Linked DNA regions of Canis lupus familiaris. The protein of the gene in region 2 interacts with the protein of the main gene of each other region in a pairwise test. Links are inferred from orthologs where the notes say so. Each region holds a gene or a part of one and is shown on either strand. Other genes may lie near its edges.

The links.
Region 1: the proteins of GLP1R (region 2) and CD81 interact in a protein complementation assay, tested with the Homo sapiens proteins (2 studies listed by BioGRID). The link is inferred for Canis lupus familiaris from reciprocal best matches to the Homo sapiens genes GLP1R and CD81.
Region 3: the proteins of GLP1R (region 2) and SLC15A4 interact in a protein complementation assay, tested with the Homo sapiens proteins (2 studies listed by BioGRID). The link is inferred for Canis lupus familiaris from reciprocal best matches to the Homo sapiens genes GLP1R and SLC15A4.

The regions. Positions count from the first base shown.
Region 1 is NC_049239.1:46,926,152-46,929,732, forward strand, and holds the end of CD81 (CD81 antigen), read left to right. Parts: coding exon 1-64; intron 65-693; coding exon 694-768; intron 769-1,117; coding exon 1,118-1,222; intron 1,223-1,636; coding exon 1,637-1,738; intron 1,739-2,228; coding exon 2,229-2,315; intron 2,316-2,396; coding exon 2,397-2,459; 3' UTR 2,460-2,970; downstream 2,971-3,581. UniProt on the Homo sapiens protein: Structural component of specialized membrane microdomains known as tetraspanin-enriched microdomains (TERMs), which act as platforms for receptor clustering and signaling.
Region 2 is NC_049233.1:8,211,444-8,215,084, reverse strand, and holds part of GLP1R (glucagon-like peptide 1 receptor), read right to left. Parts: intron 2,028-3,641; coding exon 1,908-2,027; coding exon of another isoform or gene 1,860-1,907; exon of another isoform or gene 1,729-1,859; coding exon 1,615-1,728; 3' UTR 1-1,614.
Region 3 is NC_049247.1:2,994,605-2,998,984, reverse strand, and holds the start of SLC15A4 (solute carrier family 15 member 4), read right to left. Parts: upstream 2,829-4,380; 5' UTR 2,817-2,828; coding exon 2,289-2,816; intron 2,056-2,288; exon of another isoform or gene 1,107-2,055; intron 539-1,106; exon of another isoform or gene 290-538; intron 1-289. UniProt on the Homo sapiens protein: Proton-coupled amino-acid transporter that mediates the transmembrane transport of L-histidine and some di- and tripeptides from inside the lysosome to the cytosol, and plays a key role in innate immune response.

The DNA.
Region 1 (3,581 bases), on a different chromosome or scaffold from region 2:
GATGTTCGTTGGGTTCCTGGGCTGCTATGGGGCCATCCAGGAGTCCCAGTGCCTGCTGGGGACGGTAAGGTCGTGAGTGGGGCTGGGGGACACAGAGACAGAGCCTGGAGCTCTGCTGGGTGCATCCCTTGCCAGTGTGGGAGGCCGTGGAGGGGGGCTCGCAGGGCAGCCTGGGGACCTAGCCCAGAACGTCAGCCCCAACGTCCCTTTCTGGTCCTGAAATCCGGTCCTGGTTGACTGCTGGGATGTCTGGTTCCAAACTCAGAGTTCCACAGTTTTCCTCTCTGGTTTTAGTAAAAAGCCAGAAACAATAGGGCCATGTCCCTTGGGCCAACCTCCACGGGGACACAGAGGCCCAGGCAGTCGGGAAACGGGGCAGTGGGTGGCCGTGTCACGATGCTCCCTTCCCGTGGGCAGAGGGAGAAGTGGGGTGTGGAAGGGGCTTCCTTGGGACCCCAGCCCCAGCCTGTAGGGCTGCTGAGAACACTGGCATGTCACTGCTGGGACTGACTCTTCCCCCTCGCTGCTTTTCACCTCCGCACGGCTGCTCCCTGGATGGGACGTGCGGAGTGGAGGCCAACCCCACACATGCACCTGCGGGTCACTCGGACGTCCGGCATCTGCGTGACCCCACGCCTGTTCTCACCCCGCATGTCTCTGCCCTCCCCTCTGGGTCCTGCATGGCCTTCCCAGTTCTTCACCTGCCTCGTCATCCTGTTTGCCTGTGAAGTAGCTGCCGGCATCTGGGGCTTTGTCAACAAAGACCAGGTGAGCCCGGGATCACGGTGGTGGGGCCCATCCCAGCAGGGTCAGGAGGGAGGGGTGCCCGCCTGCTGCTCAGGTTGGGCCTACCCTGGGATCGCAGGGTGCTCTTTGGGGCTCCCCCTGGGGCCTGCCTGGTAGAAAGGCCACGGAGGGCTTTCTGGAGGAGGTGGCGCGGGGGCTGAGGAGAAGGCAGGGCCACCTGTCTCCCAGCCTCGAGTGGTGATGGGGGGCAATCCTGGTCTACCCTGGAAGCATTATCTTCTCAAGAGAGCCAGGTGAACCGCTTGCCCCCCTCTCTGGGGTGGTCCTTGCTGTGGGGTGACCTCGGCCCTCCCGCACACCCTCCCCCCAGATCGCCAAGGATGTGAAGCAATTCTACGACCAGGCTCTGCAGCAGGCCGTGGTGGACGACGAAGCCAACAATGCCAAGGCCGTGGTGAAGACCTTCCATGAGACGGTGCGGCAGGGGGTGCTGGGGGTGCAGGAGGGTTGTCCTCCGTGAGTGAGGCCTGGCTGGGGTTGAATCTGGTCTCCGTGGGGCACTGGAGACCTGGAAGCCCTTCTCCTGGAGGGCCGTGGAGCCCTATCTGGGACCCCCCCCCCCCCCCCGCCCAGGGGATTGTCTGGGACCTGCAGGTCCCCTGTGTGAGCCAGATGGGCAGTAGGAAGGCCTGGGTGTGGGGGTCTCTGAGCAGCACAGCCAAGGGTGGAGGGGATGAGGAGTCCTGGGCTGTTCTTCTTGAGGAGCAGACCCTCCCTGGCTGGGGACACCCCTGGGGCTTGGGCAGCCCACGGGGTGTATGTCCCTGGCCGTGTCCCTGTGGTCCTCTGTGCACACGGCCCGGGCTGACCGCAGGTGTCCTCCGTGCAGCTCAACTGCTGTGGCTCCAGCACGCTCTCCGCGCTCACCACCTCCATGCTCAAGAACAGCCTGTGTCCCTCTGGCAGCAACGTCATTAGCAACTTGTTCAAGGTACATGGAGCCCACTGGGCCGCCCAGGGTTGGCCCCACGTCGCGTCCAGCAGCCCAGCTGGGTTGGGCCCCTGGCTCTGCACACAGCACCTTCCGTTTCCACATCTGCTTTATTTATTTTAAACATTTTGAGAGAGAGAGTGAGCGAGAGGGAGAGGGAGAGAGAGAGAGAGAGAGAGAACACGAGCAGGAGGAGGGGCAGAGGGAGAAGCAGACTCCCTGCTAAGCAGGGAGCCCAACATGGGGATTGATCCCAGAACCCGGGACCTGCCCTGAACCCAAGACAGATGCTTCACCCGCTGAGCCTCCCAGGCGCCCCCTCCACATCTGCTTTAAAATGGACGTGAGATAACCTGGCAGAGACCAGGCCCTGGTGGCACGTCTTCAGGGAATCGAGCCCCTCCCTTCTCTTGCCACAATGACCCCGAGCCGCTGCACTGAGGGGCCCGAGGGCCTGCACTCCTGACCGTCGGCGGGCTGTCCCCCACAGGAGGACTGCCACCAGAAGATCGATGACCTCTTCTCGGGGAAGCTGTACCTCATTGGCATTGCAGCCATCGTGGTGGCCGTGATCATGGTGAGTACACGGGCCAGGCATCCGCGTGAGGCGGCCCCACAGTCTCCGGGTGCTGACAGTCCCACCCACCCGTCCCCACAGATCTTCGAGATGATCCTGAGCATGGTGCTCTGCTGCGGCATCCGGAACAGCTCCGTGTACTGAGCGGCCCCGGCTGCACCTGCTGCGGGGAGGGCCGCTGGGAACCCTGCAGGGCCCCTAGAGTGACCGGACATTCTGAGGAGGGGCCGTCAGCGCCTGTGTATATAACTTCTCTGGTATTACTCTGCTACACTTATTAGCCTTTTTACTTCTGAGGTTTTCTGTCCTGAAGTCCCCCGTTACCTTTTGGGGCTGAAGTCACCTAGAGACGGCGTGTGAGTGGGCCTTGGGGACCGTGAGGCAGGGGCCGCTCTGCTTCTGCAGCTGCTTGGGGGCTCCGCCTGCTTAGTCAGGCCTCTCCCGGGGGCCCGGGGGCCCCGGGGCCCACCCACCTGCCCACGGGCTGCACGGCTCATGCCTTTTAACCCTCGTTCCTGTCGCCACTTGTCCCGAGCCGGGTCTGCCAGCAGCCTTCACCTTCAGTGCACCTGTCCTCTCTAACTCGTCACCTTCAGCTGTAATTACATCTTCAAAGTCATTCAATAAAGAAGGAAAAACCGGGCATGCTAACAAACTGTCTGGCCCCTTCCTGTGGCTGCGGCGTCTGAGACCCAGGGCGCAGCTGGAGCGGCAGGTGGGCCGGCATGGGTGAGGCTTGGCTCAGCTCCGCGGACCTTGCAGGGTGTGAGGGGCCCCTTTGGTGGGCCCGGTGCCACCGTCAGCAGCTTCCACCCAGCTCACTCCCCTACCCACTCTGTGGACACCACTGCCCAGAGGGGGCACTCAGGTAATGTGGCGTAGAGCCTGCAAGACTCCCCTCCATCCTGGGGGCCCGCTCTGTAGAGGACAGGCACACTGACCCTCCCATGCTCCGAAGGGACTCTTCAGAGCTTCTAGGTGTTCCGTGGAGAAGCTGGGGAGCAAGGTCTCAGCCACTGTGTGCGGAGTCCACCCGACCCACCCCCGTCCTGGACCGGGGCCCAGCTGCCTCCTCCCACCCCCACCCCCTCGGGAGTGCTGGGTGATGTCACCATGAGCTGAGTGCAGGCACTGACCTGGTGTATGCTGAACTGGCCCCTTGAGGCCATGAGGGCCTGGCTGGGATTCATGTGGAGGGCTGACAGCTGCCTCCCTTGGCGCTTGTTTTGGAAACTGGCCCCAGCCCTACTTTTGGGGTCATCAGGT
Region 2 (3,641 bases):
CTCTCCCCTCCAAAGAGAAAGTCAAGGAGTGGGGCCTGCTGGAAAATCCTCTCTTATTCTGGGGAAGCAGGGGTGCCCCCATCCTCCACCTCTCTACATTTTCTCCAGGAGCCATTCTGCATACTTCGCCTTTAGCCTGAGGTTCAGCTTCCCCATTAACAAAGACACAACACTTCACTGAAGCTGAAGTATAAGAAATTTTCTGCTTGATGTGTTTTATGTCCCATTATTATTTTCCCCGTACATCACATGCCTCTCTGAGAAGCACAGGAAAATGTGTCTGGTGCAAGGCTCTGGGGAGGGTCCCCCACCACTTAAAAAGAAGGAGGGAGGGATGGATCCATAAAGAAATTCACCCAAAGCCTCTCCCTCTGCCTTCCCAGGAGGTCTGGACTCCTCTAAGAGTTCTCTCCTACTTGGGAAACTTCCTTTGCATCCACAAACTTCACTGCCAGCCTCCCTGGGATGGCTCTTTCCCTTTTGTCTGGGTTTCTGTAGTGTTGCTACATGTCTGCCCTCTCCTGGTGGTGGGGGCAGGACTGAGAGGTTTTCCCTGTGTAGCCTCTCTGCTGGTCATTATTTATGGGATGAAACTGGAGGCAGGGAAAACACCGATTGGCTCAACATGTGGCTGAGTCAATTCAGTTACTACCTCACTCCCCTCAACAACATCACAATCACAATGGTTTCGTTCTTTTTTTTCCATCAGGTGGGAGAAATCAGAGTCACACATTTGCACATGCAGACCATTCACAGCAATAAAGAAAAATGAATAAAGTATATACAGGCTCCCAAGTTGCGGACTTTCATGGTAAAGAAACCAGGGACAAGGGGAAGACAGCTTCCGAGGTAACAGGGGCAACTGGTAGTTTCCCCCAGAGGTCCCTTTTTGGTCACAGCTCTTAGAGGGCACACCCAAACTCCCATGCAAGGTACATAATCTGGTCACAAAAAGCCTTTCCCCAGGGAGGTGGAAATAAAGCTTCAGCCTTGCTGGGTTCCCAACGGTTGCAGGTACACTATACCTCCCAGCGCGAGCATTTCCTAGAGTTCCCGAGTTGAATCCCAGAGGACTCTAGAACATCTCTAGAATAGAATTCAGAGCTCACATGGAGAGCTGGGCTCCTCGGCACTAGGCCTGCCCTGGTTCCCCGGGCAGAGTGGCGGCAGGCAGCATACCGAGGCAGGTCAAATACCCACGGGAGAAGTGGGCACACCAGCAAAGGAAACTGTTGGGCACATTCTCAGCATTCGTTCTCAACACTATCCACAGCCGTTTCTAGAAAGAGCTGCGGTGGTGCCCAAACAAAGCCCCCACAGAGAAGCTGGGTGGTGAGATATGGGGGCAAGATGAACAAGTGACAAACAGGAACAGTGTCCCTTAATGAGGAGGCAGTAGGGGTGGTGACCCTACTGGAGGCAAGCAGAGTTGGCTCACCTTCCCTAAGCTCTGCTTGGCTGAGGCTACACAGGCCTCTTCCTGAACCACCTCCTCTTGCAAACCGCCATCCCGCTAATAAGCCATTGACCTTGGTGTGAATGTGGGGCTGATTTGCTGCTCTGTCTTGGGGAACCCCAGGGGCCTGGTGGCTTAACGGCAAGAAATCCTCCTTGTCATAGCAGCCATCGGTTTTTCTCTTCTCCTGCCGCCGTGATCAAATTAGCAAGCTGCTTCTCTTCAGAGGAAATGTGGCCATGGGTCCCAGGAGGCACTGCCCATTTGCCTGTCTGATGGGTTTGGGAAGGGAAAGCAGGGATGTAGGTGAGCATGTCCCTCCCCGCCCAGCCCCACAGGGCCTCTCCCACCTTGGACAGCCAGCCGGCCCGCAGCGGGACCACAGGGAGGGGGTGCTGGGGTCTTAGCTGCAGGAGGCCTGGCAGCTGGCCGCGTACACACTGCTGCCCACCGTGCCCCCGCTGCTCAGGCTGCTGGTGGGGCACTTCAGGGGCCTCATGCTGCTGTCTCTCTGCACGTGCAAGTGCTCGAGCCGCCAGCGCTCCCAGCTCCTCCGAAACTCCATCTGGACCTTCCGTGGGAAAAGGAGGGGAACAAAAGCCATCATGCAAACCAACTGCCCACAAAATGGCCCCGTTATTACATTAGTAGGGAAGGGGAAAAAAAAATCCACTGCATTATATTAAGAGACACGAGTCAAGGCCTTCGGGCGCCTAAATTAATATCCCAATAAAATTGTTTATCGTTGTCTCCTATTTTCTGCCTCTCCTCAGGAGAGAGATGAGGTTGATGATCTAATTGGTCGCTTCCATCTCTAAACTCCGTGACTCAGCTAAGTACCTTTCACAATCCATCACGGTATTATTTAACGGAAGAGAACGAGAGCGAGAGCAATGCGGGAGAGCAGAGCGGAGAGATGGGAGGGAGAGAACGAGGAGGGGGAGCCTGACTTCAGGGCAGCGTGGAGCGGAGATGGCCCGAGCCTGCCTGCGGGGATGGCCCTGGGGTCCTGGGCCACGTCACCGGACCTGGGCGTGGGTGCAGGAGGGAGGACAGCAGACACCGCCTAGGGCCACCCAGCCCCGTGCCACCTCACTGCCCCGCTGAGCGCGGGTGGTGGGTGTGCTGATGGGGGTGGAGGGGTGGGGGGGGGGACAACGGGACACCCGAGGCTGAGGGGGGCTTCTGCTCAGGTGGCAGCACGGAGACCAATCTTGTCTCACAGCCCTTAACTGTGGCAGGTGGGGAGAAAAGTGGTAAACTGAGGCACATCTGTGGGAAGCCACCATGGGGACTGAAGTGGTTTCATGGACACCGGCAGGAAAAGGGACTCTGTTATGTACCCTCGCCCCCCCCCCATGACAACTGATATTAAAAGCCACCAATTGGGGCGCCTGGGTGGCTCAGTTGGTTAAGCGTCTGCCTTCAGCTCAGGTCATGATCCCAGGGTCCTGGGATGGAGCCCTGCGTCAGGATCCCTGCTTAGTGGGGAGTCTGCTTCTCCTTCTGCCCCTCACCCTGCTCGTGCTCTCTCTCTCTCTCTCTCACTCTCTCTGTGTCTCTCAAATCAATCAATCAATCAATCAATCTTTAAAATAAAAGCCACCATTTATTGGCCACTTACTACATGCCGAGCACTCCCCGGAGATTATTTTAGTTAACTTTCTCGGCAACCCTGTGAAGCAGCTCCTGTTATTCTTGCCCGCTGCAAGGTGGAGAAACTGAGGGGCAGAGTACTTCAGAATTTCCCTTGGGTCTCAGCCAGGATCCAAACCTAGATCTGGGCTGACCTCAAAGCTGGCATCCTAAGCACTGGCCTCCTGGCTTCCAGGACTGTCTAGGTCATGCTGGTTTCTGGCATGTGTCCTGCCCACTCAGCTGGGAGCACCTCAAGGGCCGGGACCCCATCTTCCTCATCTGGGATCCCTTGGACCCAGCCCAGTGCCTGGCAAACAACAGGCCTTCCCTACGTGCTTTGTAAATGACCCGAAGGAAGGAGCGAGTGACAAAATGAGCATCTGACTCTGGGCTCTTTTGGCTACGAAACAGCAGAGGGGACACCGTGAATCTGACTCCCGTCCTAGTACTTAGGGCGGAGCACTTCCTCACACTAAGCCTACCTGACTCCCTGCCTCTGGCTAGGCCCTGGCTCTGGGATTTGGGAAGACTGGGTTAAGCTCTTTCA
Region 3 (4,380 bases), on a different chromosome or scaffold from region 2:
TTTAAAAATAAATTGCAGCATGATAACATTTCACCCCATATGAATCTAAAAATAAAGCCACTCTTCTACATGACCACAAACCATTATCCCACCCAAGAAATTGAACATCAATGCCATTTTATCTAATGTGTGGTCTATCATCAAATTACCCTAATTGTCCCTCAAAATGGCTTTAAAAAAAAAACAAAACAAAACACCAGGGATCCAATCAGAACACACACATTGCCTTTGTTTCTCAAGTCTAACATCCTTGAATCTAGAGTGGCCCTATTTCTTTCAGGATAGTGTCATATTTGAAGAGATTAGCCCAGTTAACTCACAGAAGAGAGCACTTTTTTTTTTTTTTTAACGTCGACACGTTATTACACATCCTGTCATGCATTCTCGATAACCTCTATAAGACCACTCCTTCCTTTATGAAATGTTGATTGCTCATCCATCATGGACTGGAGACAACTGACTTCATGTTGGCCTGCCCAGGTCCAAACACAGCTCCTATTGCCCTGCTGTGGTTCTGGGCCGGTCAAACGTCCTCAGCCTGTGTTAAGATAGACACATGCAGTCTGTAGAGTGTCCTGAGGCTACGAGAAGGCAAAGTAACAAGTACAGTGAGGACACGACAAACATTCACATGGCATGTGGGCCGTGTCTTTCAAGGGGCTTCACTGCGCTGCCAATGCTGCGCCTTCACTGATGACACCCAAGACGGAAGCCACGAGCCTGGGCTCTGAGACCCGACTATGACCCAGCTGTGCTAGGTAGGTCTCAGAAAGCACATCTCGAAGCCATGGTTAAAACAGAGGTCAGGAAATCAGACCCGGACTACAACCGTGGCTTGCCCACTCACTACAAGAAGTCATCTTTTGTACCTCCGCCTCCTTGGGGGAGTCAACGAGGTCATGTGTGTAACACATGCTCATTTCCTGGCGCAGAGAAGAATTTGGAACATGAGGCAGCGATCTCTCAACATTATTGAGATTCAGCAAGGCGCCACCTCACTGTAAAGGGTAGCCGGACAGGGTCCACTTAAAGCTCAGACTAAGGACAGGCACCTGCATCCTGGCTCAGTCAGGCACTAGCTGTGTGACTTTGGGCAAATGATTTACCTCTCAAGCCTTATGTATAAAATGGGCACAAGAGCAGCAGCAGCGTCACGACGACTGATGAAGCACGGAGAGAGGGCCTGGAGAACAGTAAGCCGTATGTGCCGTCACGTCAAGTTCAGCACAAACACCTGGGGATCATCTTCCCTGCGGCTGCCGACCCCACCTCCACGCTCTTCACTCTGTGTCCACTCGACCCACCTCCGTCCAAATCCCTCTCTGTAACCCGGCCAGCATGATGGACTGCCTTCTGGTACGCCTGAGGTTCTCACTTCCCTCCCTAGTCTGCACACATCACAAACTTCTTCTGTGAACGGGCGGGGCGCACACGTTTTAGGTATTGAGTTGAGAGACATCTGGCCTTTGTCACAAGTCCCCAGTTGTGCTACTGCAAGGTGACAGCGGCCACTCACAGCTGGTGCGGGCCCAGCGGGCCGTGACTGTTCCGATGAAGCTTTAATTAGGGAGACCAACGTCTGAGTTTCATAAATTTTTCCCCTGTCACAGGAGACTCTGCTTTTTCCCTACCGCTTGAGAACCTAAGAACCACTCTCGCTGTTGGCTCGCAGGCCCCCCCGAAGCAGGAAGTGGGCAGGTTTGGCTGCCAGGACACAGCTGCTGGGCGCACCTGCGCTCGGAGGACCTGCTTCTCGAAGACGCCGCTCGACGCGGCACACCCGCAACAGCTTCCTACTGTACTCGAAGCACACCCACGAGTCTTTTAAAAGCCCCACGGGACCTGGCCTCGGCCCGCCGGTCCTTTCCCACTTCTGTTTCCCTGCAGCATAGTTGCCGTCTGCGGCTAAGCGCGCACCCTCCGCGTTGACTTGACAGGGACGCGCCGCGGCCTGAGCGTCACGTGGCCTCTTCAGAGCCCGGAGCCGCGAGGCGCCCGCCCAGGCCGTGACCCCGGGGTCCCGGGCTGGGGTCCCGGGCTGGAGCCCCGCGGCGGGCTGCCCGCAGGGGGCCTGCTCCTCCCTCTAGAGGCCTGGGTCTCTGCCTCTCTTTGTGCCTCTCATGAGTAAATAAGTAACATCTTAAGAAAAAAAAAGGGGAACCGGAGCGTCGGTCCGTGGCGGCCCCGCGGCTCTGCACCCGTGGCCGAGGTCGCCCCGGGGGCCCCGGTGGGGCCGGGGGTGTGGTGCTCGGGGCTCGCCGCTCGCCCGCCCCCCCGCCCCCGCTCACCTGGTCCGCCCCGAAGGGCGTGACGTTGGCCTTGACGGCGCCCACGCCGAGGCCGACGAGCGCCAGCGCCGAGAGCGCGGCCGGGGCGCAGTAGCGGGCGGGCGCGTCGGGGCAGGGCGGCGCGGAGCAGTTGCGGAGGCGCGTGGGGCGCGGGGCCCCGCAGAGCGCGGCGCGGGGCGCGGGCGCGGCCAGCAGCGGCAAGGCCAGCATGCCCAGCAGGTAGAGCGCCAGGCTGAGCAGGATGGCGCGCGCGCGGCCCAGCTGCGCGTCGGCCAGCCAGCCCCCGAACGGCGACACCAGGTAGGCGAGGCCCACGAAGAGCAGCAGCGCCTGGCTGGCCTGCGCGCCCTCCCAGCCGAACGGCGCGCCGTTCAGGAACAGCACCAGGTTGGCCGTGACGCCGTAGAAGGCGGCGCGCTCCAGCAGCTCCGTCAGCAGCACCGCCGCGCACGCCGCCCGCCGGCCCGCGAACGCCCCCCGCCGCGCGCCCAGCAGCGGCGCCCGCTCGCCCGCCGCCGCGCCCTCCATGCGCCCGCCGCCGCCGCCACTCGGCCGCCGCCCTTCTCGCGAGACCCGCCCGACGACGCGCCCCGGCCCGGCCAGGCCCGGCCCGGCCCGCCCCGCCCCTCGCGCGTCCCTCCCGGCGGCGCCGCCGCCCTTCTCGCGAGAGCCGCTCGGCCCGCCGCCCTGGGCCGGGGGCCGCGCGCCGCCGGCAACTTCCGTTTCCGCCCGGAAGCCCGGCGGGGCGGGGCGGGGCGGGGCAGCTTCCGCCGGGCCGCGGTGGCCCCACAGCCCCGGCTCCGGGTGCGCGCGCCGACGGGGCTTCTGTCCCTGTGCCCGCAGCCCCGGCGACGGCGACGGCGCCCCGCGACACCCGGCCTCGCTCCGGCCTCGCTCCGGCCTCGGGGCCAGCCGAGCGGCGGGCGCGCAGGTAGGGAGCCTGCCCCCACGCTCCAGCGAGCGCCCCTGCGCCTCTTGTTCTCCCGGACGCGCGCCCCCTGGACCGCCACCCGCCCCGGGCCGGCACGCAGCAGGCGGCAGGGAGCGGCCGGAGGGAGGCCCCGGGGCTCGGGGGAGCGTCCGCCTTCGGCTCCGGCTGGGGTCCGGGCCCGCGATCGACCCCGCGTCGGGCTCCCTGCGTGGGGCCTGCCTCTCCCTCCGCCCCCCCCCCATGTGTGTCTCATGAATAAATGAATCTTTAAAGAAAAAGAAAAAAAAGAGGAGCCCTTGCGTGCTGGAGGGACCTTCACACGGTCGTTCAAGCTCCTCGTTCTCAGCTCCGAAGCTCGGATGTCACGTTTCCGACCCCCCAGCAGAGGGCGGAGCCCTCCTCACGCCCCGGGAGCGCCCTCCACCTCTGTCTGCACAGCACCGTGTAAAGTTAGGATCGTGCGTTTTGCGAAAACGATTTAACGTGTCTTCAGACCTGGGAGGGATGGGAATTTCTTTGTCCGTCCCCCGTAGTCCAAGAACCTAGCACAAATCCTCGCAAGCGGTAAGTACATGTGGAACCCAACAAACGAATATTTGTTGATTTTTAAGTGGTGCCGAAAGAAAGTTTTATGTTCGATTCTTTTTTTTTTTTTTTTTTTTGGACTTCCCTGATGTTCTAAAGCATACATCAGTCTCCTAATTTAGCTGAAAGGCAAACCGCTTAAGATTTCTGTCTGGGGTCATACACTCAGTAGAGCGGAGTCTTCAATTAAAGGCTTTTACTTAATTCCTCGTACAAGGCTCTGCCTCTTCCACATTCTGGCTGGAATCTGAGACAGAACCTTCAAGTATTTGCTAAAAGACTGGTAAAACTGACACTCAGGCAAAGCGCAGAGTAAATAGGGGATAAAAGTTAAGCCGTCTGACTTAGCGTGTGATGATTTAGTGGGAAGCCCTGGCCCGTGCGGATGTGCCATTTCAGATGACGGCAACGGAAGGGAGTTGGATTATCTCGGCTAAGAAGTATAAAGCTAAGTGAGCAAAGCGAGAGTTCAGGACGTACCCTAGGAACGAACTTTGAGCAGTTCCTCTCGTGGGTAAGGAAATCAGCCGTACCCTGCAGTCTCTGACACCGTGAAGTTGCAGAACAGTCCAGTAG